Alligator mississippiensis: one gene and its partner. The protein of the gene in region 1 purifies or fractionates together with the protein of each later gene. This does not show direct contact. Links are inferred from orthologs where the notes say so. Each region holds a gene or a part of one and is shown on either strand. Other genes may lie near its edges.

Region 1 (14,491 bases):
GGAGACGGATCCTTTTGGCCTCCGAAGGGGGCACAGCGCGGCCCCCTGGTCTCCCCCTCCCCGTGCGAGACGCGAAGGCTGCCTCGCCGCCTCCCGCACGGAAAAATAAAAGGGGAACGATTTAAAAGCAATCGCTGCCCGAAGCGGAGGCCGCCAGCGCTCTGCCCCCGGCAGCTGGGTCTCTCTGTCTGGATGCGCCCGCTTCGTCGAGGGGGTTTGGGGGCATCCGAGGAGGGCTTGGCCCCTCCTGGCTCCCTTCCCCTCGCTCTCTCCCACCGCCCCGGCACCTGTAATCTCTCGCACCCCCTTGCAAAGCCCGGCTCCTGGCCCCACAGCCAGGCGGGTTCGGTGCCAGCCCCGCCTGCCCCGATTCCTCCCTTTGTTTTGGGGGCTGCGCCCTCCGAGATTGCCCCGCGCGTCCCTTCCTGCCCCGGGACTTCCAGTCTCGTTCCTCCCGCCCCTCCCGGGGCACCCGGCCGGGCCGGCGCTCACCTGAGCCTGGAGGCAGAGGACGAACAGGTGCAGGAACCTGGCGGGAGAAAGCAGAGAGGAGGCGGGGTGAGCGCGGAGCCGAGCCGAGCCGAGCCCCGACCCGACCCGACCCGGACCCGGACCCGACCCGGCGGCGGCTTACAGCGAGCGGAGCAGCGGGGCGGGCGGCGGCATGGTGCGGCGTTGGCGGCTGCGGGCGCTGCTGCCCCGGCCCCGGCCCCGGCCCCGGCCCCGGCCCCGCGCGGGGGCGGGCGGGCGGGCGGCGCGCTCCGCGGCGGGGCAGCCCCGGGCTGCGGGAGCCGGGCGAGCGGGCGGGCGGGCGGGCGCGGCGCGGGCGCTGTCAGCGCGGAGCTCGGGGCGCGGGGCCGGGGCCGGGGCCGGCACTGCGGGGCCCACACCGCACCTGGGCGGGGAGGGACGGCCGGAGCGAGGGCGGAGGAGGAGGAGGGAGGGGCGGCGGGACCGGCCCGGCCCGGCCCGGCCCGGCCCGGCCCGGGGGCAGTGGCGGGGGGGCGGGGGGGCGTGCACACGAGTGTGTCTGGGTGTGCGTGCGTGTACCGCGTAGCTGCGCGCACGTGCGTGTGTGTGTGTGTGTGTGTATGCAAGGGAGAGGTGTGTGCGCGTGTGTCCGCATGCATGGGCACGGGGGCTGTGTGCGGGATGTGCGCGCGTTTGTACACACGTGTGCGCACGTGTGACAGGGGATGCGCGGATGTGGATGTGTCTGTATCTGCATGGGGGGGGTGTCGTGGGGGGGTGCAGGGGGTGCGGGCGCGTGTGCATGCATGTGTACATGTGTAGGGTGTGTGTGTGTGCCCATGTGTGCATACATGGGCAAGGGGGGGAGTATGGGGATGTATGTGCACGGAGGGGGGTGTACATGGGCACCTGCGCATGCACGCACAGGAGGCATGTGTGTGTGTGTGTGTGTGTGTGTGTGTGTCCACACACTCTGGCAGCGTCTGAACTCAGCCCCTCTCCAGTGTGCAGCGATGGCCTGGAGCGCGGGCGAGCGAGGGCTGCCCTTGCGTGTGCATGTAGCACGCCGCGCACGCCCCCAGTGACTCCCAGCCCCGGGGCTCCTGCGCGCAGCCGGCTCGGCCCCGGCCCCGGCCCTGGGGGGCACAGACAGTCCCGGCGCAGGGGCCGCAGCAGACGGGCGCAGGGGGGGTACAAGGAAGAAATCCCGGGCGTTGCCACAAACACCCCAAGCCGCTGGCCACGGCATACAGGTGCCCCCGTGACCCCCTGGGCAGGACCAAGGGGGTATCAGGGGGCAAAGGGAAAGTCCTGACACGGGGGCCTGGGCTTGGGGGGGGTTGAGGGAACAACATGTCCCCCCAGATCTTCCCCCAGGCCAGAGGTCACTGCCGGGGCTAGAGGCCAGGCCCCTGGACCAGCAAAGCCCGAGCCAGCCTGGAGCCAGGGGCAGGCGGCTGCACCAGCTGAGACACCAGCCCCTGGAGGACACTCCTAGCTCTGCCACTGACCTGCCAGGTGGCCTTGGTCTGGTCACCTCGCCACCCCGTGCCTCAGTTTCCCCACCCGCAACACATCACCCCCCAAAAGGGGCTCGGAGGCAAAAAGAGCTGCAGGTCGGAGCTGGGAGGAGGGAGCGAGCGGGCGGCGCTGGGCTCATGTGGATTGGGGTGGAAGGTGCGAGGTGGGCCCTGCCAGTGCGAGACATTAAGAGGATTAAGGAGAGTTTCAGGGGTAGACACCAGTGCAAACACCGCGGGGCCCGGCCCTCCCCCCAGCACACGCTAATCCACACCCGCTGCCCCCACGCGCCCACCCCGCTGCAAACAGCCCCGGACGGCAAATCAAGCCAGGACCAACCCCCCCCCAGCCCTCCCCAAGCCCTGTGCGCGGTGGGGGGCTGGAGGAAGCCGGGGGCTGCGGGACTTGGCTCTACCGCGGAGAAGACCCAAGTGCAGGAGGGTGCGGGGAGGGGGAGCTGGAGCCCCCCAGGCCACGGAGGGGAGGCCCCAAGCCCCCCACCTGTCTGCTGCCATCGGAGGTGGGCAAAACCCTGTTGTGGGCCAGGGGTCTCCAATGCGGAGATGGCCGCAGGAGCGGCACAGGTGGGCCTGAGCCCTGCAAGGGTGGCAGGGAGCTCAGGTCACGTCGGGTCCAACCCCCTGCTCCAAGCAGGACCAGCCCCAGCTACATCATCCCAGCCATGGCTCTGTCTACCTGGGTCTTCGACACCTCCAAGGATGGAGATGCCACCACCGCTCTGGGGAGCCTGCTCCAGTGCTTCACCTTCCTCCTAGGGAAAGAGTCCTTCCTAATACCCAACCTCAACTTCTCTTGCTGCAGCCTGAGCCCATTGCTCCTTGTTCTCTGCCACCACCGGGGCAGGTGCGATTCCTCCCCAGGGTGGGAGCAGAAGAAACTGCCCTGGTCCCATGTCCCCGGTTCTCTGGCCTGGCTGGCAGCAGTCACGGAAATCCTAGCCAAGTGGAGCTGGAAGGGACCTGCGGCGGCAGGATCAACCCCATCCAAACTCCCCCTGACAAACCCCACATCCGACCTTGGAGCCCCACGACAGTCACCCCAAAACAGCTCCCGCCCCTGCCCCCGGGATACAGGGGGCCGTGGACAGCAATGGCCGGCTGCTGCCGGGGGGTCCTGGACGTGCAGAGAGCCCAGGCCCAGGCCATGCCCCCGCTGCAGAGGAAGGACCTCCCCCTCACCCCCCGCTGCTTGTCTCGTGCGTGCATGCGTGTGCATGTGTGTGCGCCCTTTTGCCCCTGCATCTCCATCGCTGAGCTGCTCACACCTGTAGCTACTCTGGGGATGGGGGACCCTGGCTGGGCAGCAGCCCCCAGCCCCGACCCTTTATCTTACCCAAGTCCATCCTCCCCACCCTCGCTCCTCTCCTGCAATCCGCACCCAGCTCCTGCAGCCAGGCCAGAGGCACACGCACACACTAGACCCACGCCGGCTTGCTGCCATAAGCACGTCCTCTGACACGCGCAGCACAGCTGCACCTGGCAGCCTCCCACAACCCTCCCCTTTGCACACCCCCACCCCCATCTGCCCCTCCACGTGCCATCCCAGCATCATCCACCCACAACCCCCCACCTCGCATACAGCACCCTGCAAAACATGCCGGAGACGAGTGCACGTTATAAATGAGAAAATACGGTAAGAGCAGATTCTGCCCCTGCCCAGGTGCCAGGCTCCGATCTGCAGCCAGACACAAGGGGCAAACCTGGAGCAGCCCCAGCCCCGCGACTTACTGCGAGGGCCGAGCTTTGCTCCCTCCGGTCCTCCTGCCACGACCAAGGGGCGAGTCGTATGCAGGGACAAACAGGATCCACCCGGGGCCAAGGCGAGGGGCCCAGGCTCAGCAGCACCCAGGCCGCTCATCCGTGACAGATCACCTAGCTGGGACCACCACCCAGCTGCTCGCCACCACGGGGCAGAGGAGCAGGAGGCAGTTTCTAGCAGCCGGCTTGGAAGGAATCACCGAGTCCCAGCGCCGCGGGGGGGGCAGGGAGCCGCGGGGTCACATCCAGCCCAGCTCGGCCTGAGGCAGGATCAGCCCCGTCCAAACCAGCCCAGACGAACCCCGTGTCCGACCTCGGAGGCACACGACGCAGTTGCCCCGACAGCCCCAGGCATCGCCCCCTGCCCCCCACAATGACTCATGGAGCAGAAAGGGGGGGCACAACTAGCACAGCCCAGGGACCTGGGACACCCCACAGCACAGCACAGGCGTGCAGCATCCCCCCCCCAGCGTGTCACACCTCTTGCCGGAGCACCTCTGCATCGCCCTTGCAGCCTGGGCTTCACCGTGAGCCTCCAGGGCTCGGCCCTGACCCTGCAGCCAAGCCCCCGCCAGCACGGCCCAGGCACATCCCCGCCACGAGTGGTTATACTAGCACCTACGCACACAAGGACAGGGCATGTATGCACCTGTGTGCCACCAAATCCTGCTGTGAATGCATGCACGCGCAGCCTGTGTACGCCCTGCTGGGGTGGCCGTGCCTGTGAGACGCCCAGGGGCATGAGTGATGGAGCCACGAGGGGGTCCCTTGCCAGGAGGGCACTGGAGACAGGTGGGCCTGAGAGGAGAGCCCTGGCAGCACCCACTCCCCTCCGCCCCTTCCCCACAGCTGTGGCAGCTGGATAAAAGCTGGGTCGGGCACTGCAGCCCCCACAACAGGCTGGGACCTGCGCTTCATGCCCCCCAAAGGGTTCAACCCCCAGGGGGGACAAGGGGCCAAGGTCAGGTGCCCCACAGAGCCTGCCTCGTGGCTGCACAGGGAGGGGGACAAGGACACATGCACACCCCAACACATCCACGCAGCCCTGTGTGCACACATGACCCTGCACTCGCACACACCCCTGGGCATATGTGCACCTGTGCACAGGCACATACACCCCTGCCCCCCCACCTTGCACACCCTTGCATCTGTGAACTCTGCCTCCCCCCACAACCATGTTCACATGTGCACACACACACACACACCCTGCACCCACATGCAATATATGCATGCACCTCACACACCACCCCTGCACCCGTGTGCCCCCCTGCAGCAGGGCCACAGCAGGTCCAAGCCACGAGTGCTGCATGCCGGGTCTCCCCTTCCTGATGCCGCCCATCCCCAGTGCCCCCCCCCAGGTGACGGGGGCAGAGGGCTGCGCGTCCCGGAGCTGGCCCAGCTCTTGCTCCACACCTGGCAGGGAGACACAGCTCTGCCCTGGCAGCTGGCTCTGGCATCCAGGCCTGCGCTCGCTGCTGCAGCTTGACCCCGGGGCGGAGGGGACGCGGGATGCCGGAGCCACGGGGCAGGTACCACGCGGAGCATCCCCGGGCACGGCGTGGCCGGGCTGCCACCTGGCGGCCCACGGGGGAACTGCAGCACTGGAGCCAGGCCAGGCAGCCGTGGCCCTGGAGGGACAGATTCCCCCAGGCCAGCCCCACACCAGGCCTGGGCCTGCTTGGCTCCTGCCCTGTGCCTCAGTTTCCCTGCACGTGCAAGGGGAACAGCAGCCCCCTGGGCTGGATGCAATGGTGCCACACTGGCCCCTGGCTCTTGGTCATCTCCAGGCCCCAGCAGGGAACCCCGCGGGGGGCGAATGCTCAGCAGCCAACCCCGCTGGTCCCCACTGCCCTGGACTCTGGGCTGGGGCCTGCCCCAGAGCCTTGGCTGGGCTGGGGGAGACCCAGGGGTCAGAGGTCAAGCCCCCGCAACACCTCTACCTCTCAGGGCCCAGCTCCAGTGCGGAGCTTGAGATTTCCCAGTCCCCCAAAAGCCCCCATGGACGGCCCCGGGGCAGGGAGGAGCGGGCGCAGACAAGACACAGCCAGGAGCTTGGGAAGGCAGTGATGACTCTTTACCTGGATACACCCCAAGAGCCCCCCAGAGCTTCCCCACGGGCCGGGGGGGGCAAGGCCGCACTGAGCACAGAGCCTGGCCCCAGGCAGGACTGCAGGGAGCCCGGAGGAGGGGGACGCTCCCACACCCACCCCTGGCGTCAGGCACCAGGGTCCCGGCGTTGGTCCCGGGAGCGCAGCCCCCCTGGCCTGTGCCAGGGCAGGGATCTCGGCCCATCCCCGGGGGCTCTTCCCTGCAGCCAGGCCCCAGCCCCGGGGTGGGGAAGCCGAAGCCGGAACCGGAACCGGAGCAGCACCTGGGGGAGAGAGAGGCAGAGGTGAGACTGGGGTGGGAGTCCCCGCAGCGCAGCCCCCCGCCGATCTCCAAAGCAGCCCTCACCTCTACAGCCTCCGGCACTGTTTCTTCGCTGGCATGATGGGCGCGATCTCCTCCTCCTCGCTGGACTCGTCCTCATCGGACAGACTGGTGCTGGGCACTGGGGTGCACGGACGGGCCGTCAGCACCAGCAGCCGGTGCTGGGAGGGATAGCCAGACAAGCTGCCCCCACCCCCCTGCAGCCGGCAGCCCCCGCTCAGGGGCACCCGCCCCCCCCTTACCGACACGGTGCTGCCCGGCCAGGTGCACGGGGCCGGAGCCGGCGGCCAGGCGGAAGGTGACGGGAGGGTGCAGCGTGAAGCCGTCCAAACTCAGCTGCAAAGAGGCCGTGGGAGGAGGGGAGTCAGAGCAGGGCTGGGGTCTGGCTCGGCCGCGCCACGGCGCTTGCACGCTGTCCCCCCGCCCGCCCGGGCGCCTTACCGAGGGCTGGCACGACAGCTTCAGGTTGGCCACGGGCACGGCGATCTCCCGGTCGTCGCAGTCGCGTCCGACCACTTCCACCACGTTGCACTCGTCCACGGCTCCGGCCCCCAGGGAGACCTGGGAGGGAGCAGAGGGGCAGCATTGGGGGCAGCTGCCACGGGGCAGGACACGGCTGGAGACACCGCCTGGGCGACCGCAACCCGCGGGCACCGCCGGGACCCCCGGGGCGGCTCCGAGCAGGGGAGCTGCGGGCGGAGGTTTGTCTCCGCTGCCCCGACGGATGCTGCCGCGTGTGGGATCAGCACACACGCACACGTGTGTGACATCCGCATACGGGCACCCGCGTGTGCGATCGCGTGTTGCCGCCCGGCGAGGGGGCACGGGCTGGGTGGGAGGAGGGGCTGCGGGCTGCCACAACCCCGGCCCTCTTACCGTGGACAGGGTCAGGAGATGCTCGCAGTCCTCGTCCTCCTCGTCCGCCACGAAGGTGAAGGACCGGGCGCTGCCGGTCAGGGCGCAGCCTGGGGAGCACGGGGGTCAGCGAGCAAAGCCACAGACCCCGGGCCCGGGGGGGGGGGGGGAGGGAGGCAGACCCAGAGACCCCCCCTTGCACGGGCGCTGCTGGGCCCCCCGCGGGATCCCCGGGACCCCTCCCCACGCACCGAAGAGGCCGCCCTCGGGGTCGGGCGGGCCGGGCGGGCGCCACTCGCGGCTCTGCCGCTCCAGGAAGGCGGCCATGTGCAGCGCCGAGCACCGTGGGAGGGACGGAGGGAGGCAGGAAGGAAGGAAGGAAGGGGCTGAAGCTCCGCCTGGCCGGCCCGGCTCCGGCTCCGGCTCCTCCCCGCCCGCAGCGGCCGTGCCGGGAGCGCGGAGCGGGCCGTCCCCCGCGGGACCCCGGTGCGTGCGAAGCCCGGCCCGCCCGCCCGGGCGGGGAGGATCCCAGGAGCTTCCCGCCGGATCCCCGAGACCAGGCTCTCCTTCCCACCTCGGGCCAGGGCGGCAGCGCAGGCAGCAGGGGGGTGGGTGGAGGGCAGGGGCAGGACGAGCCGGGGAGAGGGAGGGAGGGACGGGGTGCATCTGGCTCCTGTCTCCCTTCAAACCGCCCCGGCGCCTGCAGCGGGGCAAGGCAGGGTCTGGGGGTCCGGGCTCGGCCGCCTCGCTCACCTGTCCAGCAGGACGCGTTTCTACACAGGATGAGACCAAACCGGGGGGATGCCCCACCGGCGTGGGGGAGACGAACGTGCCGGGGTCTGCTCCGAGACCCCGCAAAGGGACACGCTCCCACCGACTGGACCTCCGCGCACTCCGGTTCAGATGGGATGGTGGGGTCCCCTCTGTACGCCCCAGTCCCCTTCCCGGCATGGAGCAGAGATCCGGGTAACTCAGCACGGAGGGAGAGAGCAAGGAGCTACTCACGCTTGCAAGAGGAGTGCCTGGTTGTGTCGCGGCAGTGCCGGGTGCTGCCGGCCTTCGGGATGATCAGGAGAGCGGACAAGAATGCGACGCTCCGCTCAAGGAAAACCTGCCACCAAGCAGCATTCATGTAGCCCCAGACTCGATCGAGACCACCATTAGGAACTGATCACCCTTCACCGAAATGCAGCCATGTCTGGGGAGGCTGCGGCAGCTGATTACTGCGGCCAGACCTGTGGGCACAGGAGACGCTTCGATCCACGTGAAATCCAACCAGGCCGGCAGGAGCGATTAGTCCAGCCCCGTCTGACAGCAGCCAGGATCAGATGGGGCAGGCACAGGGGATCTCATCCCACATGGCCTAAGCCCCGCAGCCAGGGTTCAACCCCCTCACGAACCAGGCCGGGGCGCACACGTTGCCCCAGAAGCAGCCGGGGGCTGGTAAAACCTCACAGCGGGCTCTGTGAGCACCCTCTCGCCCTCCGCCTCCACCGCACGTCCCTCCCACCACGAGCGGCACCAGGCTTTGACCAAGGCCCCAAATTCTTTGTCTCTTGGCTTGCAATCAGCTACCGCCATGAACAACGACCCAGCGCCACTCGGACACCTGGAGCATGAGGGGGTCTTCCCCAGGAAGGGAACTAGTCCTAGCTGCCCCCAGTGAGTCCAGGTGCCTGGGAGGTATTTACTGTGGCACCCCCGAATTCACAGTTTCATAGTTGGTCGGGTCGGAAGAGACCTGAGCAGATCATCCAGTCCGACCCCCTGCCATGGCAGGAAAGAGTGCTGGGGTCAAACGACCCCGGCTAGGTGTCTATCTAGTCTCCTCTTAAAGCCCCCCAGGGTTGGAGCCGGCACCACTTCTCTTGGAAGTTGGTTCCAGTTCCTAGCCGCCCTGACAGTGAAGTCGCGCCTCCTGATGTCTAGTCTGAATCTACCCTCTGCCAGCTTGTGACCAGTATTTCTAGTCACTCCTGGGAGTGCTTGGGGGAACGGGGACTCCCCCAGTGCCTGCTGGTCCCCCTGACTGGTTTGTAACAGGCCACCAGATCCCCTCAGCCTTCTCTGGGGGAGGCTGAACAGGTTCAGGTCCCGTTGCCTCTCCCTGTAGGGCCTGCCCTGCTGCCCCTGACCATGCGGGTGGCCTCCTCTGGACCCTCTCCATGCTGTCCACATCCCTCCTGAAGTGCGACACCCAGAGCTGGATGCAGTACTCCAGCTGGGGCCTGACCAGTGCCGCTTAGAGGGGGAGGATTACCTCCTTGGACCTGCTCGAGATGCATCTGTGGATGCACGACAAGGTGCGGTTGGCCTTCCTGACCACGTCCCCACACTGTCGGCCCGTGTTCATTCTGGCATCAATGATGACCCCAAGATCCTTTTCTGCCTCTGCACTGACGAGAAGGGAGTTCCCCAGCCTGTAGGTCTGCTGCTGGCTCTTCCTCCCCAGGTGCAGCACTTTGCACTGGTCAGTGTTGAACCCATCCTGTTCTCATCCGCCCACCCCTGTAACCTGTCCAGGTCCGATTGCAGCCTGTCCCTCCCTTCTAGCGTGCCCACCTCCCCCCACATCTTAGTGTCGTCTGCGAATTTGAACAAGGTGCTTTTCACCCCCTCGTCCAAGTCGCTGATGGAGATGTTGAACAGTGCAGGCCCGAGGACCGAGCCCTGGGGGACCCCGCTGCCCACAGCCTTTCAGGTCAAATAAGACCCGTCCACCACCACCCTCTGGGTGCGGCCCTCCAGCCAGTTAGTGACCCATCTGACTGCGTAGGTGTCGACGCCACAGTCCCCGAGTGTTTTTTAATGAGAATGGGGTGAGAGACCGTGTCGAAGGCCTTCCTGAAGTCCAGAAAGACTATGTCCACCGCAACACCTGCATCCAGGGATTGTGTGACCTGGTCATAGAAGGCCACCGGGTTGGTCTGACAGGACCTGCCTTGAATGAACCGTGTTCGTTGCCCCTGAGCATGATCTCCCTGCTGGTCCCTCACAGATGTGCTCCCAAATAATTTTCTCAAAGAGCTTCCCCAGGACCAAGGTAAGACTAACAGGCCTGTAGTTTCCTGGGTCCTCCTTCCTCCCTTTTTTGAAAATGGGGACCACACTGGCCCTTTTCCAGTCCTCCGGCACCTCACCAGAGCACCACCAGTGTTCGTAGAGCCGTGCTGGGGTCCCACAGTGACCTCTGCAATTCCCTCGGCACCCTGGGGTGGAGATCGGCAGGACCTGCTGATTTGAACACGTCCAGCCCCTCCAGGAGTTCCCCGACTAGGTCCTCACTGACCCTGGGCCTGGCTGTGCCTCCCCTGGGTCCATCAGGGGTCCCAGTGTGGGGGATGTCCCTGCCCCTGCTCAGAAAAATGGAGCCAAAGAAATTGTTAAATAGGTTAGCTTTGCTGTCTGGTGAGACCACCAGATTTCCTAGCATGCCCTGCAGAGGCCCCACATTACCCAGTACCTTCTTTTTACCCTCTATATATTTAAAAAAGGAGTTCTTGTTGTCCTTGATCCGTGTTGCTAGTCCCAGTCCCATCTCTGCCTTGGCCTTCCTGACCGCCCCGAGCCCCGAGCCCCCGAGATGTAGTCCTCCCTGGCAATGGCCCCTCTCTTCCATCGGGTGTACGCCTCCTTCTTAGCTTTGAGATGTTCCCGGATGCTTTTGGTGAGCCATGGGGGCTTTTGAGCACTCTTGCCCGCTTTGATCTGTGTTGGGATTACCTTCCTTTGGGCTTGGAGGATCGTCTCCTTCAGGAACGATCACTCGTGTCAGACTTCCCTCCCCTCCAGGACCTCAGTGCCTCCCCGACTAGCCTCTTTAGCTGAATGAAATCCGCCCTCCTGAAGTCCAGGGCTGCTGCCTTGCTGCCGGCCTTTGCCACCCTGCGCTGGATGAATTCAAGGACTTCACGAGTGATTTGGAGGGTTGATGAGGCAGGTGCTCGAGGGAACAACCTGCTCCAAGGAGCTAATAGGGGCACAAATCTTTGGGACCAAACGCAGGATAAACAGGGTCCTCACTGCCAGTGCTGCCTGCGGTTCCCAGGAGCCGCCTGGAGTTTGAGCAGGGGACCGTATGGGGTGGCTCTCATGAGAAAGGCACCCCAGGTTTAACTGAGGGGACAAAGCTGACCGGATAAATCGATGCACGAGGCCTCAAGTGGCTTCTTCCTGACAGTGAAAGGCCCAGTTTAAGCCACTGCAGCCATGATGCACGCTTAGTCCTTTGCACTGGTTCAGCTCTGTTAAAACCAGCCTGAACTGCACTGTCTCCCTGGTAAGACAGGCCCTGGGGGGGACCGGACAGGGCCAAGGTGCAGGCTGACCAACGCTAAACAGGGCTCAGGAGGGATTTGTGCTTGAATTGCCCTCAGAAAGACCTTGTCCATCCTAGGATCAAGGGCAACGAGGGTGAAGGGACCTCAGGAGTCATCTATCCAACCCCTGCTCCAAGCAGGACCAGCTCCACCTGCATCATCCAGCCACAGGCTTCAAAATCTCCAAGGATGCAGGTTCCCCCACCTCTCTGGGGAGCCTGTTCCAGTCTTTACTGGCCTCCTAGTGAGAAAGTTTTTCCTAGTATCCAACCTCAACTTCCCTTGCTGCAGCTGGAGCCCATTGCTCCTTGTCTTGTATCTGCCCCCACTGAGACCAGCCCAGCTCCATCCTCTTCGCAGCCGCCCTGCAGGGAGGTGAAGGCTGCTATTCAATCCCCCTCCGTCTTCTCTTCTGCAGACTAAAGCAGCCCAGGTCCCTCAGCCTCTCAGTCATCTTCCTCCAAAGCAGCAGCCACGCTTCAAAACAGGATCCGCTGCTTCCCAGTCAGCTCGGTGTGGGGCCTTGGGGAGGGTCACCGGGGCTGCTCTACGGGGCTCAAGCACTTCCCCCTTCCAACGGGTCACTGGGGCTTGTGGCCTTACAAAGAGGCCGGGGGCAACCACGACTGGAGAGAAATGGGGCCATGCCTCAATGCTGGCAATTCTGACAGGGCTCTCGAGCCCGTCTGCGCTGCCTGGCACCACTGCCAATGGAAGGGCACAGTGTAAGGAAGTCAGCCTCATTGATGACCATCGCTAGCATCTTGGAGGGCAAGGACTGCGCTGCTATTGCCTGCATTGCCTTGCATACAACACCTTCCCCTCAAAAACTGCTGCAACTAGAACGCCCTTCACACGTGAAGAAATACAGTAAGGGAAGGAGAGGCAAGGCCTGCAGGAGAGCCCAACAAGGAGCAGGCTCAGCTCCCTCTCTGCAGCTACTCAGGAAAGACCCAAAACAAGTTGTGCATCTTATTTCAGGGCATGCTGTCTGCAAGGAAATACGGTAGGCTGAGCTAAGCCAGGCAAGTCGGTACAGGAAAGGGTCCTTTCTGCACGCCAGATGAAGCTCAGGGCCAGTGCTGCTTGGATAAATTAAATGAGCAGGTGGTGGGGAAAACCTAGCTGTGATGTGTGCTGTGGTCTGAGTCCAGACGAAGCCTTCCAAGCCACTGGAGGAGTTCCTGACCCCGGCCACTGCGAACGAGATCAGCTCAATAACAGACCTGCTTCCTCCTGCACGGATCCTGCCGTCACTCTTCCTGGAACCACAGAACTACGCGGGAGAGACAGGTGCGAGTCTACGTGCTCAGAAGGCTCCCGCCTGGAGCAGACCTAGCTCAGTGCCTGGGATGATTTTGGGAACGTGTCCACAATCCCATTGGGTGGGACAGTGCAGCCCGGTCACAGAGCCTCCAGCTGGTGCCGATGATTTTCGGCTTGACTTTGGGCGAGTCATGTTGTAAGCTCCATTATTTCCTCGCTGAGAAGTCACCCCTCCCACCCCAGGTTTTACCCGACTTGCCTGTCCTGGTGCTGGAAAAGCAACTGATACCAAGGTACTTTGAACCCTTTAGGCTCAGTGATTAGAAGCGACTGGGTTTTAATCTACCAGATCCTAAGGGGCATTTGATGAATGTATTGGGGAGCAGGCTGAGTAACGCAAAGGAGGTTTTTTCAGTTTCCACATCAGCTTGCGGAGTCTCTGCCACAAGACGCTGCAGGGACTGGCAGTGCAACCGGGGTCAGAAGAGGATGAGACCGTCGTGCAGGGCATGTCCAACGTGTATTAACACAATGGAAGGGCTGCGACCTCTGAATTAAGCCTTCCCAGGCCTCAGCGCTGGAAGGGACAAGGGGCAGCAGAAAGAGGAGTCTAGACCGGCCCTGAAGATACTTTCTCTTCGCATCTGTTCTCTGCCACTGTGAAAGGCAGCACTGGGCGAGACAGCCAGCAGGGCCCAAGGAGCTGGGCTACTTGTTCACGCAGAGCACTGCTTGGCGAGCCTGCTTTCCATCCTCCACTTCCACCGCGCGTGAACAAGCATCCAAGCGCGTCTCTGCGCTGGGCTAGGGAGAAGGTGCTGCTGATCATATAACGCATGGTTTTCGCCAGCTGTTATACCCACAAGTGGGCAGGCTGCCCACTTTATCCGTGAGAGCCGTCTAGGCTTCAAAGTGAAGTACTGCGTGAAGATCCGTGCAGGTGAGGGGCTGAGCACGGCTGGCAATGTGGGCCTACATGTTCATCCTCACACAGGGCAGACCACCATTTCAGTGCCCTTTGAAAGCCAGGAGCGCCCCCCACCGGAAAAAAGCAGACGTACGGAGGGCCAGGGCCGCCGCATGATGGAGAGGACCGTGCCCGCACACGCCCGTGAGCAGCGCCACACACCGAACACACCGTGCATTTACATTCACTTCGGAATTTTTATTCTATTTCTCGCGTGGTCTTCAAATACAGTTTTACAGGTCATTTTCTCTGCTACAGATACTGGTCATCTAAAAACAGATTAATGAAAGTGGCATTCCAACCTCAATGAAAATTCTTAACCATGAAAGATATGTCAACGTATCACCTTACAATCCTAGGGTGATGGTATTGGCCGGACGTCCCGTAGGTTTATACAACTAACTTCTATAACATTATATTCATAGGAAGAGAGATTGTGGCAACTTCTTTAAAAGCCAAGATACAAGGCCACAAGCATCCTATGCTGTAATGCTATGAATCCAGATCGAGTACTAAACTGACTCTGGCAGACCCATTAAAAAAAAAAGAATGGCTCCACCTGACGAACCAAGGCATCGGCTACTCTACACACACTCAAAGCTGTACGAAACGAGGGACCTTCAGCTCTGACTGCCCCGAGACCCAATACCCCTGGTACTTCCCTCTCTAAAGAAATGAAATGAGCTTGTTTCAACTGAAATACTTCGCTATCACGTTAAAAAATAATAATTGAAGAAAAAAAAAATTGTTCACTGTTTGCAAATGAGCCTGTGCGTGACTGCACTGGAAGGCCAAACAGTAGCTGCTCCTTCCTGGAGTCTAATGCCATTCATCAGAGCTTGTAAAACCCCTTCAAAGCCTAGCTGGGAGCATAAATAAGGACC
Region 2 (15,750 bases), on another chromosome or scaffold:
CCTCTGCCAGCAGGACCCTAGTCTGTAATACTGCTTTGGCAAACGTGCATTTTGGGAGCCAGAGAGCAGGAATTTGCGGATAGATGCTTTGACGCAGCTCAGTTTTTTCTGCAAGCTTTAAAGAGAAGGGGGCAGGGGGAGAGAAAGGTAGAACACAGTTCAGTGACTGATAAAAGTAAAATGTTTCTACTTGGCTAAGCTTCAACCCTGTCTGTTTTGGGAGATTCAGTACTTGGGTACTTCTCCATCTTTTGTGTGTGTTGCAAAATAGGAGCTGAAGCTTCCACAAAAAGCAACTCATTCCTAGTAGGGACACAATGTTTACTCAAATCCATGACACACAACAGGCAGTTACTGCAAATCTGACTCTGGCCAAACTCGGAATCAAATCTGTCACAGCCCTCTCTGCCACTTACTGTCAAGCATGGCTCTGGTTCTGGCTTTATTCTTTTCTGAGGTATGCAGCACATGGAAGCTCAGCCCCCGCCCAGCCAGGTAGCAGCTCCAAGGCTGGAGCTTCTGTGCATTCTGGGCAGCAATGGAGCCAGAGCCATGCCTGACCATAAAAGGGAGGAGGAGGCAGAACAGACAGTACAGGACACAAATTTAAGGTGACCCTCTGATAATTTGATTCTGCATGGAAAGTTACAGCAAGGTTGTCAACTTTCTATATATAGAATTGAATTACTGGGGAGGGGATCATCTTAAATTTGTAGTAGTCTCTTTACATTTCTGTATCTGTAAATATTCCACCAATCTGTCTTCACAGAGACTTACACAGGTTTAACTAAACCAGTACCATATTGCAATGGAAACATTTCAGTTTAAGAGTAGCTTGTTTCAACTGAGCTCAAACCATGTTTACCTTCAGTTACTTAGGAACAAAAAAAACCAAACACACACACTTTTGTGGTTGTGCCAGAAGGGTACAAGAAGGACATTTACTCATGTAGTTATCAGAATTTGATTTCAATCTTTAAAGTTATACCAATGCACTCTTCCCACACAGCCAAGGCCTAAAGAGTAATTTACGGTGAAGTACTGTCCCTAGAAACCTTATATCCATGTTCAAGGAAACATACCTGCATCCCTGGGCCTCCACATGCTGTAGCCGGTTGCTTTTCAATAGTTTGTTTTTTAGAAAGCAGGTTTCTGCCCTGAGCTTCTTGCTTCTAAACCAAAGAATGGCTGTTCTGAGTGCTTCTGTGAGTTCCCTGAAAGAGTGGGCTTCCCGAAGGGTCAGCACCAGAGATCTGGCACGCTGAGACCTTGTTGCACAAGAGGAAAGTGGAGCTGGCCTCACTTTGGCTTCAGGAACTGTTAGCATGAAACTTCTATCCTGAAAGAAATAAAAGGGGAAGAAGTCAGTCCCTAAAAAACATCAAAATGTTGAGCTTCCCACAGGAGGGAAGCAGAGATGCTTAGTGTTAGAGAAAACCCTTTTACTGCGTGGAGAAGCAGTGGTCTAGCCAGGAAGAGTACAGCACTACAAAACTTGAGATTAAGGCTCTATTTCCAGCTCTACCTAACTTGCTTTGTGATTCAGGGAAGTTCTTCCACTTCCTTGCATTTGCTTTCTCCAGCTTTAAAACAGAGACTCCCCAGCACAAGCTCTACACAATGCCTCTAAGGCTGGGCACCGAGAGTGCCTTCTCTCTGCTTTTACTTATGCAATGTTTCAAGTGTGTTGCATCTTGTAATTACATGCAAGGGTTTGAAGTGGAGGTTTGGAGGAGTCATTAGATAAATCATCATTGTAAATGCAGGGGACTGGATCAAAGACAGAGGCATAGAACAGTGCTCTGTTCCTACCTGCAAAGCACCTGGCCAATTAATTAAAGCCAAGCTGATGGTTTTCATGGCAAAAGAACATGGGGAGGGATAATGTCTAAAGGAGTAGGGGCCTACATTTTTGGTAGATGTGTCACAAATTAGCCCTCTATCCTCTCCCGAATGTCACTCCTATCCCCTTCTGCCTGCTGTTCTATTCACCGCTTTGCTTTCTGCTTTTTACCCTGTTTACTACTGTGCTGCCTGTCCCCTCCCCAATCTGCTATGTACTATACATAGAGGCTACTTGTGCCACTTATGGCACCCTGGTCTAAAATGCATGAAAAGTATTTTGGGCTGGAAGCCTTCTCCAAAAGGTAAAAGTTTATTTTAAATTATGCCATACAGACCTCTGGGACTTGGGCTTTCAGTTGTCTGCAGAAGGTCTTGACATCAAATCCCAGCTGTTTCCCTGAATTGGGGAGAGAAAAGAAAAACCATCACTTAAAATGGGAAAAAAAAATATTTGGGCAAGTTCTTTCCAGAACTGCACTGCAGAACTTCACCCCAGCTGGGGTGTTCAGTGTGCTGCGCTGCCATGCAGGACCACTGGGTCACAAGCTAACAGACCCTGGTTTGCATCCATGCTCAGCAATTGCCAGCAGGCAATCAATCCAAAAAGCAGAAAGGCAGGTGAGAAAGACTTATACACATCTGCCAGGTAGATGCACAGGACAAAATTGAAAAAAAACCCCAAAAACTAGATGGGTAAAAACCCCATAAAATGCTTTGATGCTTGGGACCCACTGCAAGGATGAAGGAGTGTCTTGTGGTTACAGGACAGAACTAGGAGTCAGAAACTGGGTTCTGGTGCTCAGCTCTTGGCTAGTACACGCTCCATTTCACTTCACTTTCCCTCTCTCTAAAATAGAGAGGATTTAATGAGAAAGAACAATTATATAGGGCCATGGGAAGCTTCCTTCATTTGTACTTCTGAAGTACAAATTACTCACATCCCCTCAAAGCTAATACAGACCACCAGAAAGCAGGAACATAGCTGCACAAGTTAATGCTTTACATAATAGCAAAGCTATCCCAGGTCCTAGCATGCATTTGGACCAGACAACCTCAAGATCACACACAAATATCCTTGGACTAGGCCTTACAAGTGACTGCTGCGTTCCACAGGATGCAAGTTAAGGAGGGCCAAAGAGCCAGTACCAAATTTCTAACATGAGCCCTCTTTCCCCCTTCCCCTGCAAAATACCAAAACTCTACCTTGGTTGGTTTTCTTCACCAGAACAGGCTTCCCAATGTCAATGGGGCGCTGGGCACCCATTTTCACTTTAACCCTTGGAATGGCCAAGGCTTCTTTTACACGGGGCCTGGCTGCTGTCTCAGGTTCTGCAGAGAACACTTTGTTCAGCCATCTGCTTGCTTTTTTTGTTGTAAGTATTTGAGACTTCCTTTTCTTGATCTCTACAGAAAGATTAACTCCCAAAAACTCAGCAATCTCAGAGGGGAAGGTAAACCCTTTAACATAGGGCATCTGTTGGGTCTCGGACACCTTCTGCAGCAACCCAGACAACGCCCCATATAAAGACGTAAGCCTCTGTAACACGCATCTATAAAGAATCCTGAGGAGACAGACAGAAAACACAGGGGCATGAACTGCCTACAGACACTAGCTGGTCTAGCCCATATAAAAATGCCCCATTAAATGCAAAGCTGAGGGAGCAAAAGAGGCTGTGTACTACCCCAGCACATGAACATATCCAGGCTGAAAGTAAACAATCAGTGCTTATTATGTGCCCGGTACTGTCAGTGCCTTGGCATCGGTAACCCCAACACCAGCTAACTCTCATTTTCAAAGCTAATAGCCTTTTTGACACCCACTTCCTCTTAACACTATTTCTGGCACCCTTAAATGGAGAGCAGTTAGCTAGCAGACATGCATTACTATGCACCTAATACGAATTCAATTAAGTAGACAGGAGGGCTAAAGGTACTATGCTCATAAGTGATTTACGCAAATATAAACAACAGGCAACAAGTTGGGTCTGAAGCATTATGCAGCTAAACAAATAATGCACTTACCTAGGAGGCATAAGTGGAGTCCACAGTATTCACTAAACAAGCACTCTCACATTTGGTACCTGCTCCTTGTTCTCAAAGGTTTCCCCTCCCATGTTTTTCCCCCCAACACACATGCATTTCTGGGCTCTGGTTTTATGCTCTCAGGCCACCTGTCCTTTGCTGCACCCCACATTTGTACTTCCTGACTAGTAGCCTGACCTCCCTTTTCAATGCTAGTTCTTCACTTGATGGAGGTGTCTGAGAGCTTCAGAAGATGCAGGATATAGACTGGGACTGATTCAACCCTGTGAACACACCATCCACAGCCTGCATTACAGAGACTTCTTCCCCCATATAATGCACCTCATGGATCTTCACAAGCTTTAGGAATGAGCAAACTCCCAGGTGACATCAAGCCAAGGCTCTTTAATTAAAATTCTTCCCCACAAACCATTTCTCCTCCAATTCAGTACAAGTGGGCCTGTTCATCTGCCTTTTTAACATTATATACACTTTTCTGTTCAATGCCACCTGAAGAAAAGCTATCCTGTTCTGAACAGAGTGGTTAGCATACACATTGATGCCATATCACACGAGTAACTCTATATTTTAATTAACAATGCTAGCATTTTCAGCCTATGTTTGAATCTTTTTGTCATTTCTTCGTAAAATGATTCACTGGAAGAATCAGGGCTAGTAAGGAACAGCTCCATTCTACCAACTATATTCTCCACACAAGACAGTTAAAAATCACTTACTGGAAAAACCCAGCAGTTGAACATCATGGTGGTATTATAAGTGCCATAGAAATCTTTTCATCATCAAGTATGAACCCTTCCCCCATCTACACTAGCACCTATTCCTGAGAATCCCGTAAAAGCCTGTCCGATTTCAGGTAGGGTGAGCCATTCAAGTCAGGGGAGGGAAGAAGCCTTGATTCATTAGCTCAACACCTGCCATTTCTTGGTGACAACAGGCACCGAGGCCTGTGTCATACTATGTACTGATTAAAGTAACTAGGGCAAAGCAGGCAGATGATGAACAAAAAAAAAAAAAATTAAAAAAAGTAAAAATATATATCTTTTCAAATGTATACAAACCATAATCTGCTCAACAATCCTGAGACCACAGTATTCAAGAGTATGAATTCTTCCAAACATAGGTGTTTAATGGTCAAGCTGAAAATAAAGCTTGTTAAGGTGAGAAAAAAAACCAATAAAAACAGTGTGCAGTGTAATTCACTGAGCAGAGACTTTCCTACAAGGCAGTTCAGAAACCCATCTATGCCTGGCAATTACTCAGGAAAGGACTGTTCAAACTCGGGGTTACTTAGAGCTATAACAGCAGTTCGCCAGCAGCCCAAAGTCCGTACCTGCTGATCTGAAAACAATTGCCTGTAACCAAAGGCTTTTTAACTAAACAACATTTGTCCGTTTATCAAATGCTATCAGCAATGAGAAGCCTGCAGCAGATCATATTTGGCTTTCTGGTAAGAATTTTCACTTCCAGGCTCCCAGGTTTGTTAAGAAGGATACAGGAATGCTTTGCAACAACAGTCCAGTAGACGCAGCAACAACTTACAGCCTCCCAAGACCTTCACTGCTACTACTTCCATCACAGGCTGGCTGGGAACTAGATGCTCTCCAGGATTTTCAGATTTATTTTTCCTGTAGTGAGGGGGTGGTGGTTACACTTAGCATGAAGTTCTTCATGGCTAAAAGTAGCATTCAGTCTAACAGGAGGTAATGACACTTACTTGGAACACAGTTCTGCCAGGTCTTGAACGTATCCCACTAAGTTCATCCTATTCAAACGCTTCAAGCTTTGTTCTACCTAAAAAACCAACAAGTCTTTTGGTCAATACTTTTTTGTTTCTCAATCAATAGGTCTTTATTAGTCAGTATTGTCCATTGTTGATGTGTAGGCCTGCCACACCTGGTGCCAAACCCATTGGCGCACACAAATATCTACACAAGGGCAAGGAGGATCTCTAGATGACATTATTGTGAACGTGGACTTTATAGGACTCAGGCAAAGACTATCAACTGATCCTACACATTCCAGGCAGCATCTTGCAATTGTGGCTACTTAAATTAAGTTTGCAAAACAAGCTTCAGGAGAAACCAATCATAAGAATCAGAACAGAAAATCTAGATTCCAACCTCTGTTTTGTTAGTGCAACAGGCAGCGTATTTCATACCCATACCACAAAATGTTATTAAACATTCCATGTTCTGTTACATTTGAAAGTTGCTTTGAGACCACCTTTGAAAAACATTCAAGTTAGTAGAAACAGTGTTTAAGGCAACCTTTGAATTATTCCCCCTTCTCTCAACAGAAATACAAGTTCTGTCCTATCTAATGTTTTATATTGAACTTCTTGAAAGTTGCGAATAAAATGAACTACAGTAAAAGTTATGTTATCTGACATCTTACAAGCTGGCATGCTCCACTAACTGGTATGTCGGCTTGTAAGATAAAGTGAAACCAGAAGTGCTCACCGTGGCACTTCTGGTTTCTCTGAGCCCCCATTGCTCAGGGCAAAGCAGCCTGTGCTGCCAAGCCCCCACAGCCCGTGGGCATAACAGGCTGTGCAGGACTCGCCACCCTGTCCCGCGGGGCCCGCCATGGGAGGGGCGGAGGGGACACCCCAGACACGGCGCGAGAAGCGGTGGCCGGGGCTGCTCAATTAACCGGCATATTTTGTTATCCAGCATCCTCCGTTCCCAAGGGATGCTGGATAACAGAACTTTTACTGTATTTATTTAGGTTTTTAACTTAAGCAGAAAGTGTCTTGTATTGTTCCCATTGAAATGGAGTGGTAAAATCTCTCACCAGCAGCCAAATTCTCTATCTAGGATCAATAAAACCTAATTGAATGAGATTCATTTAGAATAAAATGGATGTGAACAATGTTATGAAACTTTACCAAAACCCAGATCTCAATTTTTTTCTTCAGAACATGGTTGTAAGAAAAAATTATTAGAAAGCTCATTCCATCAACTATTACTGCAAAATAATATGAATCGGTATGATTTTCCCTGCTGACCTGTTTCAGAGCCAGGTAGGTTTTATGGTGAGACATTTTGCTGTGGCAGACATAAAGGATCGCATGCAGGACTCTTCCTTCAGCATCCACAGCTTTGTTGTTCAGCCATGTGAGAGTGGCAGAGCACTCTTTACTAACTGCTGGAAGGCATCTCACTGCAGGGGTGGAGGGAGTAAGGGTGAGAGGGAGAGAAAAGAGGAGTGGGGGGGAGGAGACACATTACTGTTTTGCAGTTCCACATGAAATAAATGGTTTAAGACAGCACAATCATGTAACAGTCCACACCCCAAAATCAAATGACCAAAGAAACGCATCCCCTAAAGTAAAGCCTGCAACCCCAATCTGCCATCTCCCCTCACATGAAACAGCTTAAAATCCAGAAGGAATTTTTAAAAGCCATTTTCCGCTTCCTGCCTTTTGCTGCCTACACACCCCTTAGCTGGGAGACGGGAACCAGCGTGATGCAGCGGGACAGAGCAAGGAAGTAAGAGAGGAAGGGCAGCGGGTCTGGGCTCTGGATGCTCCAAAGGAGCAGCAATACAACAATAACCACAAAGGGGTGGGTGGGTTTGGGGAAAGAGGGGGCAACCGCTTATGGCTTTTCAATAAAAATTTGCAGTCTTTTTTTGGGGGGGGGGAGGGGGAAAATCTACATACTTACTCCTCCCACCCCACTAGCAGGAAATAAACATTAAAGATGTACATCATACACATCCTAATGTGCCTGTAGGGTTACCAACGTTCGAACAATTTATCCTGGGAGGTTTCCAGACCGCCAACATGCCCGTGCCACACGGCACGAACGTGCCCACGTGCTCACGTATCTGGTACATTTGACGGTGTGCAGACTTTATGTTAGGAAGGCAAATGCACATTACTGCTACATTATAGGAACCAGTGGCCTACTGTCTAAATTGGATTCAATGTTTCATATTTATTTTGATGAAGGCGATATATTTTATCTCCCTGGTGACTCCAAGCAGTCCCCTCCAGATTTAGATTGAATTCCTGGACTCCGGGGCACCCCTGGACGGTTAGCCACCCTATGTGTACCCTACAACACCCCCTACTGACTACCATGCACGCACACACGCGACACCACAGCCCCAGCACACGCTTTTCCAGTCCCAGGACGCAGAGGCGCGCGCGACGTCACGACCCCAGGACGCAGAGGCGCGCCTGTGACGTCACGAGTCCGGTGGCTAAGCCAGCTGAAACCGCGTGCCCCGAGCGCCCGCCTCTCGCCCGCGCCTACCCCACACAGCCCCCTTCGCTACCTGAGGGGTGCTGTTCCGGCAGAGCCACCGTAGCGCTAGTGGCAGGCCACGGCACATTTACCCGATTCCACACTGCCTCCCCCAGCTCCGGCCCCGCCATATTTGCTAAGGGCGGGGAAAGGGGCGGGGCGACGAGGCCAGAAGCATGAGTGGGCGGAACCAAAACAGAGCTGGGGGGGCGGGGGAGGAACCCTGCGGGCTGTACCAAGAATCTCGGGAACGGGGTGCGTGTGCAGGGCTTGCTATAGCCGGGCAGTGGGAGGTGCGAAGCCCCCGCGAGCCCAGTGTGGGCAAGGGCAGGGTCTGCGGTTGCCCCTCGGCCTGGGCCCCACCAAGGAAGGGTGCAGGGGCCCCAGACACATGAGCAGCTACTTCAAGGCAGCCCTAGCCTGGGGTAGATCAGCTGCTACATCCTGTGGCATTGCATGAGGTCCGCCAGGCTGTGCTGACCTGCCCTGCAGCCTTCGCTGTAAGGCAGCCGCCAGGAGCTCTGCTGTTCAGGGTGCCCCCTGCCCCAAGCACGCACCCCGCCAGCCAGGGAACCCGCCTCAGCCTTGCAGGTGGCATCAAATGAACCAGGCTCCCTCCTGGCCACCAAAGCAGGGCAGGTACTGGCCACCTCTAGTGGGAGGCCTGACAGTTCTTTGTACCTGGAGGTAGATGGGGCCAAGAGGTGGCAGCTCATGTTGCAGCCAGGGTGACTGGGGGCTTTTATTTCATCTGGAGAAACACAAGAAAAGCCAAAGCGAGTTCCTCTGAACGGTACCCCCGTTTCTGAGGTGATTAGCAATCAGGCAACGTTTCCAAAGCAGCCGTGTGCAGCAGAGAATACGCAGGCCGACTCACTGCTGCATGGCGAGGACACAGGCCCCTCAATCCGCTTGATGCAACTTACTGACTCCCAGCCCTGTGCCTGTGCGTGTGGACGAGTTTTATACAGTTTAGGTTTGGATTTCTGTTTTCGTGCCCATGTCTCTGAGAAATCAATCTCTTGGCCAGTTGAGTAGGCGGCAAGGAAACTGAGCCATGACTGGTGACCATTGTTCTTTCCAAGGGTCACTTTATTAGCATTGGGTGTGATCACTGGCCTGTGCACCTCAGTCCCCTTGAAGCTGTCCCTCACAATCCGCTTCTCTCATGCATATCATTGCAGATTTAGACTGAACTGCTTCTGGGATCAGAGTATCTGTGAGGAGGCAGGTAGTGGCTGACCCAACACAGCAAAAAGTGGTGAGGAGTATTCAGAACTCCCCAACGATTGTACAGAAGGCATCTGCTCCCAAGATGTTTTTCTCACACCTGAAGAGGGGTCTTGTGTGCCCAAAAACTTGTCTAGGATTTCTCCCAGCTATAGAATTGGTCCACTACAAGAGCACTACCAAACACATCTTGCTTCTTCTATGTTCCCTGGACCCTACAACAGCACTACAGGTCTGCTTCGCAGCACAGGCTGCTGTAAGCACATCACACTTGCACTCCACTCACTTTTCAGAGTCTTTCAGCAACATTTTTCCTGGTATCTTCCTCCCACTGGGTACCTGTATCAGAAATTGAATTATATCCTACATTGCCTCTTCTACTTTGGTAGTAGCTTGTATGCTCCCAGTTTAATCTGACTCACATTCTGTGTATAAACTTGATGAAGTCAGTGATGTTAATATCAGGCATGAGTTTTAACTTGGGCTTCTAATCTTCCTAGAACCCTTTTCCCACCCCTCTGCCTTTATTCATAAGTACAGATCAGATGGTGAAATTGAGGGTGTCCCTTTAAGGAGGTATTTGCCCTGAATGGTCACAGCTGAAGGAAAGAAAAGGGAGACTGCATAAAAGGTTGTTGGGAGAAGATGCTGCTTCCTGTAGAGTTGGTGAAAAACATCTCAAGTGGTAAACAAACAAGCAAGTGCATAGAAAATAAGTGATACATGTGAAATGGAGGACAGGAGATGTGATTGGAGTGTTACTAAGGTCTCTCTGGAAGAGCTCCTGAGATGTTATAAACAGCCTATAAGTGAGGAGCAAGCTTGGGCCATTTGCTTTCAGTGCTGCTGTAAAATGAAGCAGTTGGCTCAAGGGCTTCATCCATGGTCTCCTACTGTAGTTATAAAAGGCCCTGGAAGCATCCTCATCCATTCCAATGGCAATGTTTCCTTCTTGCTGTGCTCTAAATCTGGTAAGGGCAAGGATGATAATTGATGGGGCTCTTGTTTCTATTCTGCACTTAAAAAAAATAATCAGCTAGTAACATTTTATCCATCATAACCAAAAATATGTTGCTGCTTGGTTTTGGTTTTTGTTTGGGGTTTTTTGGGGGGTGGGGGAGGTTGGGGGTTTTTTTGTTTGTTTGTTTTGTCTTTGAACTGTTTTCCATAGTAAAACCCTTGATTTTTCTCTGCAAATAGCAGGCTGACTCTTGGAATTTCTTGGGTTGTCTCCAAACCCAGTGAATCTGCAACTAATGTGAAGGGCTCTATTTTCCCTACCCACTAGGGTGCCCATAGGGAAATGGGAAAGAAGGGGTATTAATTGGGGGGAATCTTGGCAGCAGTGTTTCTCAAAGGTTAGAGCGTTGGCTTTGGAGTCAGTTTCTCAGTTCTTTTGCTGCATCTGCTGTTTTTCCCTTGTCTGTAATAATGAGAATTTTTTTTTTTTTAGTGTGGTGGTGAATTATAATAATATTATTGCTCTCTGCAAAGTATTTCTGAAGTCTTTGGATAAAAAAATACTGTGGGATAGGGCCTAGTTCAAATTGTGATTTCACACTTTTTTGTGAAAATCACAAAATTAAGTGATTTCTTTTTTTCACGAAAAAATGTGACTTGCAATAAAAATGCCACAATATGCCTGTTTGCTGGGGAGTTCCCCAACAAGCAGCTATATTATGGCATTTTGTTGCAATGATGGCAAGAATTCCCCAGCCAGCAGCAAAAGCTTAGCAGCCTAGGGGAGGAGGGAAGGTGTCACAAAACAGGTTAAGTACACTGGAGCACGCCTCTCTGGCACATAGCCAGCATGGGATGGGTGTTCGCTTCCTCTTCCTGCTGCTCTTGAGGTCTCTGGGATTTGCAGTCCAGAATCACAGCAACAGGACTCTGCATGGTTGCTTGTTACTTTTTCTTCTTGCTTCTAGGTGCCTTTGGGACTTGTAGTCCACAGTCACAGCCAGCAGTAGGTTTTAGTAAGTTTAGCAGCAGGGCAACTGTTACAGGTTTAAACCAGTTTCTGGTTGCTTAAGCTGGTTTATGTGTAACTTCTGTCTCTAAAAGGGACAGGAAGGAGAGAACTTGGGGATGGCATTTGCTCTTCCAGGTGGCTTTTTTTTTTTTTTGTCCCGTGCCAGGGCCATATACTAAGGCAGCCCTTTGGCACCCCCAACCCCTTGCACCCCAGTTTTCCTGCCCGGAGGAACAAACAGACTCCCTTACCTGGTGCCAGGGCTGTCTTAATTACTGCCTCTTCCAGGGAAGTTGGGGTGGGGAGGAGGGAAGAGGGGCGTGGGCTTTTCAGCAGTGATCAGAGGATTTTGGAACTAGGCATCTCCTGCTGCAATTAAACCTGCCCCCTCTGCCAATCAAGAGGCATGGTGTGGGGGAGAAGTGGCTCAATCTGAGCATGAGTATGGTGGCCCCTGTCACGATTGGGCCATGATATTAGCGAGCTGGGCCCACAACTTAAACCAGGCCCTACCATAGAAGAAATCAACTTTTCTAATAGTAACACATTGAATCACTTTGTTAGAGGGGTGTTACCTAAACAAATGGCTTGTATAAGGGGTTTATGAAGAATGTCTCACTTCATCCTCAGATGAACATTCCCTTCCTCCTTGTCCTCCCACTCTGTCACTTGTGAGTCCTAATCTGAAGCTATGCAGGGGGATGAGGGGACACCATGGATGGCATAATTGTTCTGCGTTTTGCAGTCTCTTTACTTTCTAATGCTAGACTTCAGAAGTAATAATATATGCATAGGATTAGAATGGGTCTTTTAAGTCACTTAGTCCAGCCTCCTGTGCACACTGATGCATGGATGATGCCATTGCCACTGAAGGGAAAGGGACTAATGCTTGACAAAAATAACTAGTCACTTTCTGCATGTGTTTATTCTGCAATGTTTGGAGCAAGTTGATTTTCCTCATGCCTTTTCTGTGAAATCTCTATATGGGTTGTGGCTCCCCCACGCTAGGATGAAAGGTGGCCAAAAGACAAGTGTCCATTTTCCAAAGAGCAAGTCTTGATTGTGCGGGCCGGGCCCCGATCCCGCCGCCAAGTGCGAGTTGGGGGGGGCGATCCATGGCCCGTCTTTGCGCACGCGGGCTGTGGCCAGCAGCCCGGGCACGCGGGGTCGGAGAAAACCGGTGGCGAGCTAGAATTAGTCACGAACGCATAGTGGTTGATTTAAAAGATTATTTACTTACACCCAAGATGGTCGCAGTGTAGGCTGGACAGCTTTCCAGGTGCAGCTCCGCTTGAGTCCTCGTTGGAGGACTCTGACGAACTCGGTTCTTTGGCCCCGGAGTGGTTTAGGCTCCGTGGGTTCGGCAGTTCTTTCCTCACGAAGTTGCTGAAGCTCCGTGGGTTCGGTTCGGTTCCCAGGTCCCCCAGAGCTGTTAAGAGTGGGTTCGAAAATTGGGTATATAGGAAGGGATACGTCTAGGAATCTATCGGCGACAGGGAGAGGCTAGAGGCTGATCAGACCTCTGTTGCCTTCTTAAGAAATGCATTGGGTCCGTAAGGATCCGCAGCGCTTAGAGATCTTCACACAGGGTGAAGTCTCCTCCTCCTGATGTTCGTAGAGTCCTCCAACTTGGGCGGAAACCATTGAAGCTTTTTATATGGCTAGCAAGCCAATCACTTGCTGCCACGTGTACATAATTTAGAACTAGCCAATAATGGGGCTCAAAGTATAATACGAATGGCAGGGTTCTCCTCTGCAGCAGAAAACTCCAGCGCGCAAAGAAGCTGCAATTTTAGCGGGAATGTAATTTAGCGTTGCCGAAGCGCACACAAACAACAAATCACAGCTTTGGGTTGTGACATTGATATAGTCTGACTGAACTATACTTAGGCCTGTTGTATCTGTAGTCTGCATGGGAGCAGTGGGTGTTGAGAGAGAAAGAAAGGAAGCTCCTTTCTCTTATTTCTACTTGAGAAGCATCCAGAGGCAGAGAACATCAAAGGGAAACCATACCTTGCACTGTTTTCTAATGATCCTGGATTCTCATCCAATTCCCTTCCCTGCCCTTCCCCCCCCCCCCCCCCCCCCAAGAAAATGGAGGTTAAAACTGTCTGAGGACTTCTCCCAATGGCAAGAAACCAAACTTGCATGATATACTGGAAAGGGAAATTTGGGTCAGTGTCAAGGGCCCATGCAAGCCTAACAGTCCACTGGGCTGCTGTGGTTAAGGCACACCAGTTACTGTAGTCAGTGTCATATAAGGGCATGAAATGGCCAGCATGATATCTGGCCACTTCTGGCTTCTCAGCCTGAATGACCAGGTGCCCATTTACAGCTGAATCAACTGGGGCAGTCTGTGGCAGAAGACCAGAGCAGGGCTTGAACTTTCACCTCCAGCACTATAGCAAGACATGTTAATGGTTCTGCCACTCCACCAAGTAGGGTTAGTGAAGGCTTTATCTTATAACAAAAAAGAGCAAGCCGTTCACAATCCCTACAGACTTATGTTCTTTCACTTGTTTCCCTTTCAGATGTTCAAAAGACACAACAATCAGAGGACAAGGTAAGTCTCTCTTTGGAGTCAAGATGGTGTCAAGGACCTATGACTTCAACCTAGGAATGGCACAGTCATAATCCTTTCTGAGTAGATGTTCTAGGTACAAAAATCTAAGCTGCCTTGTCCTACAACAATGGGTCATGTTCAAAAGATTCAATTGTCATTTAATATTCTTGGTGCTTGAAGAGTGCCAGGGGCCTGAAGGAAGATGACTTTCGTCTCCATTCTTTGACCAGGGAAAGGCCCAAGGCCAAGTTCAGAAATGAAACTACTTGAGTGGTCCTGATGTACATGCTGCAAGGGAAAAGGGTGAGGTGCAGCTGGCAATACTGCCACCTATAGGGTTTATAAAGTGGGTGCATTTCTGCTGCCACAGCACACTTCCACAACTTCAGCACGCTGTAATCATAAGTGATTCTGGTCTAGTCTCTTATACCTTGTCACCCAGCTTGAGCAACAATGACAGGATTACCTTGTGACCACCTTATCCTTCTGTGAAGAAGACACATGACCTCCAAAGTGGGTAGAGTTGTTATTTGGGTTAGAAATCTGAAGGTATCATCTGGGAACTGTCTTTACAATACTGAACTACTACTACATTGATCTGAAAGGTCGCTTGCTTCCTTGGCTTCTGTTCATAGCTGCTGGAGTGTCTGGGAATGGTGATCTATAATGCCCTGGACTGGGGCATTGACAGCCATATGGAGCGAGAGCTGAGCAAACCCCTGGAAAACCTGATTTCCCTCATGCTGAAACTAGATGTTGAAGCAACAACACCAGCAATCGGTCTTCAGGATGTCATTAAGGTTTTTTGGGTTTGTTTATTTGTTTGTTTGTTTTTTAATAGTCCAGTTGTTGAAAATGCTAATGTACTGGCATTCACAGCTGTTGGAGAGCATTCTATGAAAATTTGGGTAGTGCCTTGGAGGATAGGCACCTAGTACTCTCCTTATAACAATAGGTGAGAATGGTGCACTCCAGAAGATCTTATTGTACAGGGATGGGGAGGAAAGAAAAGTGGTTGCACTTTGACACAACTGTGGTTACGGGGTTCAGTGTGTATGGCCCAAAATGTTTCCTATTGCTTGCAGGAAAACCAGCCTTTTCCCCCTTGCAAGTGCCACACACAATTAGCTGGTTCAGTTCCCAATTGCAATGGGGGAACCACCCTGCTAATTCAGTCACAACTAGTTGCTGACACTGTTAATATCTGGAGTGAAGCTGGGGCTTGCTAACTTGCTTTTTTTTTTTTTGGTTCATGCTCTCCACCCTCCTACTTCCTGGGGGTCAGCCCACTTGAGGTGTCCATATGCACCACGTTTTTTCCCCCAGGGTATGTTGGTGTAAAGAAGCATAAATGTCCTACCTCAAGATCACTGTAGATGAGATGACCCTAGCAACATGCCAGATCTTGTCTACCTAAAACTATTACTGCTTGATAGGTGGATAGAAGTGCAGCCACACAGAGAGCTCTGCAAAGAACAGTTTGCCAGAACATGGGCACTCCTAAGCAATGCTGCCTATATCCTAAAGGATTAAGGATTCCTTGAGTCCAAAGCAGCATTCAGGCCAAAGGAAGCGTTTTTACTGACTTTAGATTAACACATGAACTAACTCTTGCTTTAGCTAACCTTAGTCATGTCAATCCTTTCTCCAGGCTTCTGGCCTCTAGAGAGCAGGCAATCGTAAAGTAGCATTGCAAACTTGTTTCTGGGCATTTGAATACAAAAATGCCTATCTCCATGAGGGAAACTGCTATCAGCAGAACTTAGCATGTCGGCACTGTGAGAAGTATTACTAAAGCCAACGTGCCTGAAATGGGTTTTGAAGTTAAAGCACTGTCCAAATTG

Evidence for each region.
Region 2: the proteins of NPM3 (region 1) and NEPRO purify together in Homo sapiens (affinity purification with mass spectrometry; 4 studies listed by BioGRID and IntAct, with this or other methods). This does not show direct contact. The link is inferred for Alligator mississippiensis from reciprocal best matches to the Homo sapiens genes NPM3 and RMP64.

Annotation. Positions count from the first base shown.
Region 1 is NC_081829.1:100,261,648-100,276,138, forward strand, and holds NPM3 (nucleoplasmin-3), read right to left. Parts: upstream 7,430-14,491; 5' UTR 7,383-7,429; coding exon 7,307-7,382; intron 7,166-7,306; coding exon 7,077-7,165; intron 6,762-7,076; coding exon 6,642-6,761; intron 6,537-6,641; coding exon 6,443-6,536; intron 6,322-6,442; coding exon 6,227-6,321; 3' UTR 6,225-6,226; intron 6,142-6,224; 3' UTR 5,823-6,141; downstream 1-5,822. UniProt on the Homo sapiens protein: Plays a role in the regulation of diverse cellular processes such as ribosome biogenesis, chromatin remodeling or protein chaperoning. Modulates the histone chaperone function and the RNA-binding activity of nucleolar phosphoprotein B23/NPM.
Region 2 is NC_081824.1:247,522,339-247,538,088, forward strand, and holds the start of NEPRO (nucleolus and neural progenitor protein), read right to left. Parts: upstream 8,292-15,750; 5' UTR 8,273-8,291; coding exon 8,173-8,272; intron 7,051-8,172; coding exon 6,896-7,050; intron 5,680-6,895; coding exon 5,603-5,679; intron 5,514-5,602; coding exon 5,382-5,513; intron 5,025-5,381; coding exon 4,947-5,024; intron 3,408-4,946; coding exon 3,049-3,407; intron 2,243-3,048; coding exon 2,181-2,242; intron 1,340-2,180; coding exon 1,083-1,339; intron 116-1,082; coding exon 1-115. Other genes in the region: protein spire homolog 1, read left to right, coding at 10,102-10,342, 13,875-13,906, 14,542-14,706. UniProt on the Homo sapiens protein: May play a role in cortex development as part of the Notch signaling pathway. Downstream of Notch may repress the expression of proneural genes and inhibit neuronal differentiation thereby maintaining neural progenitors.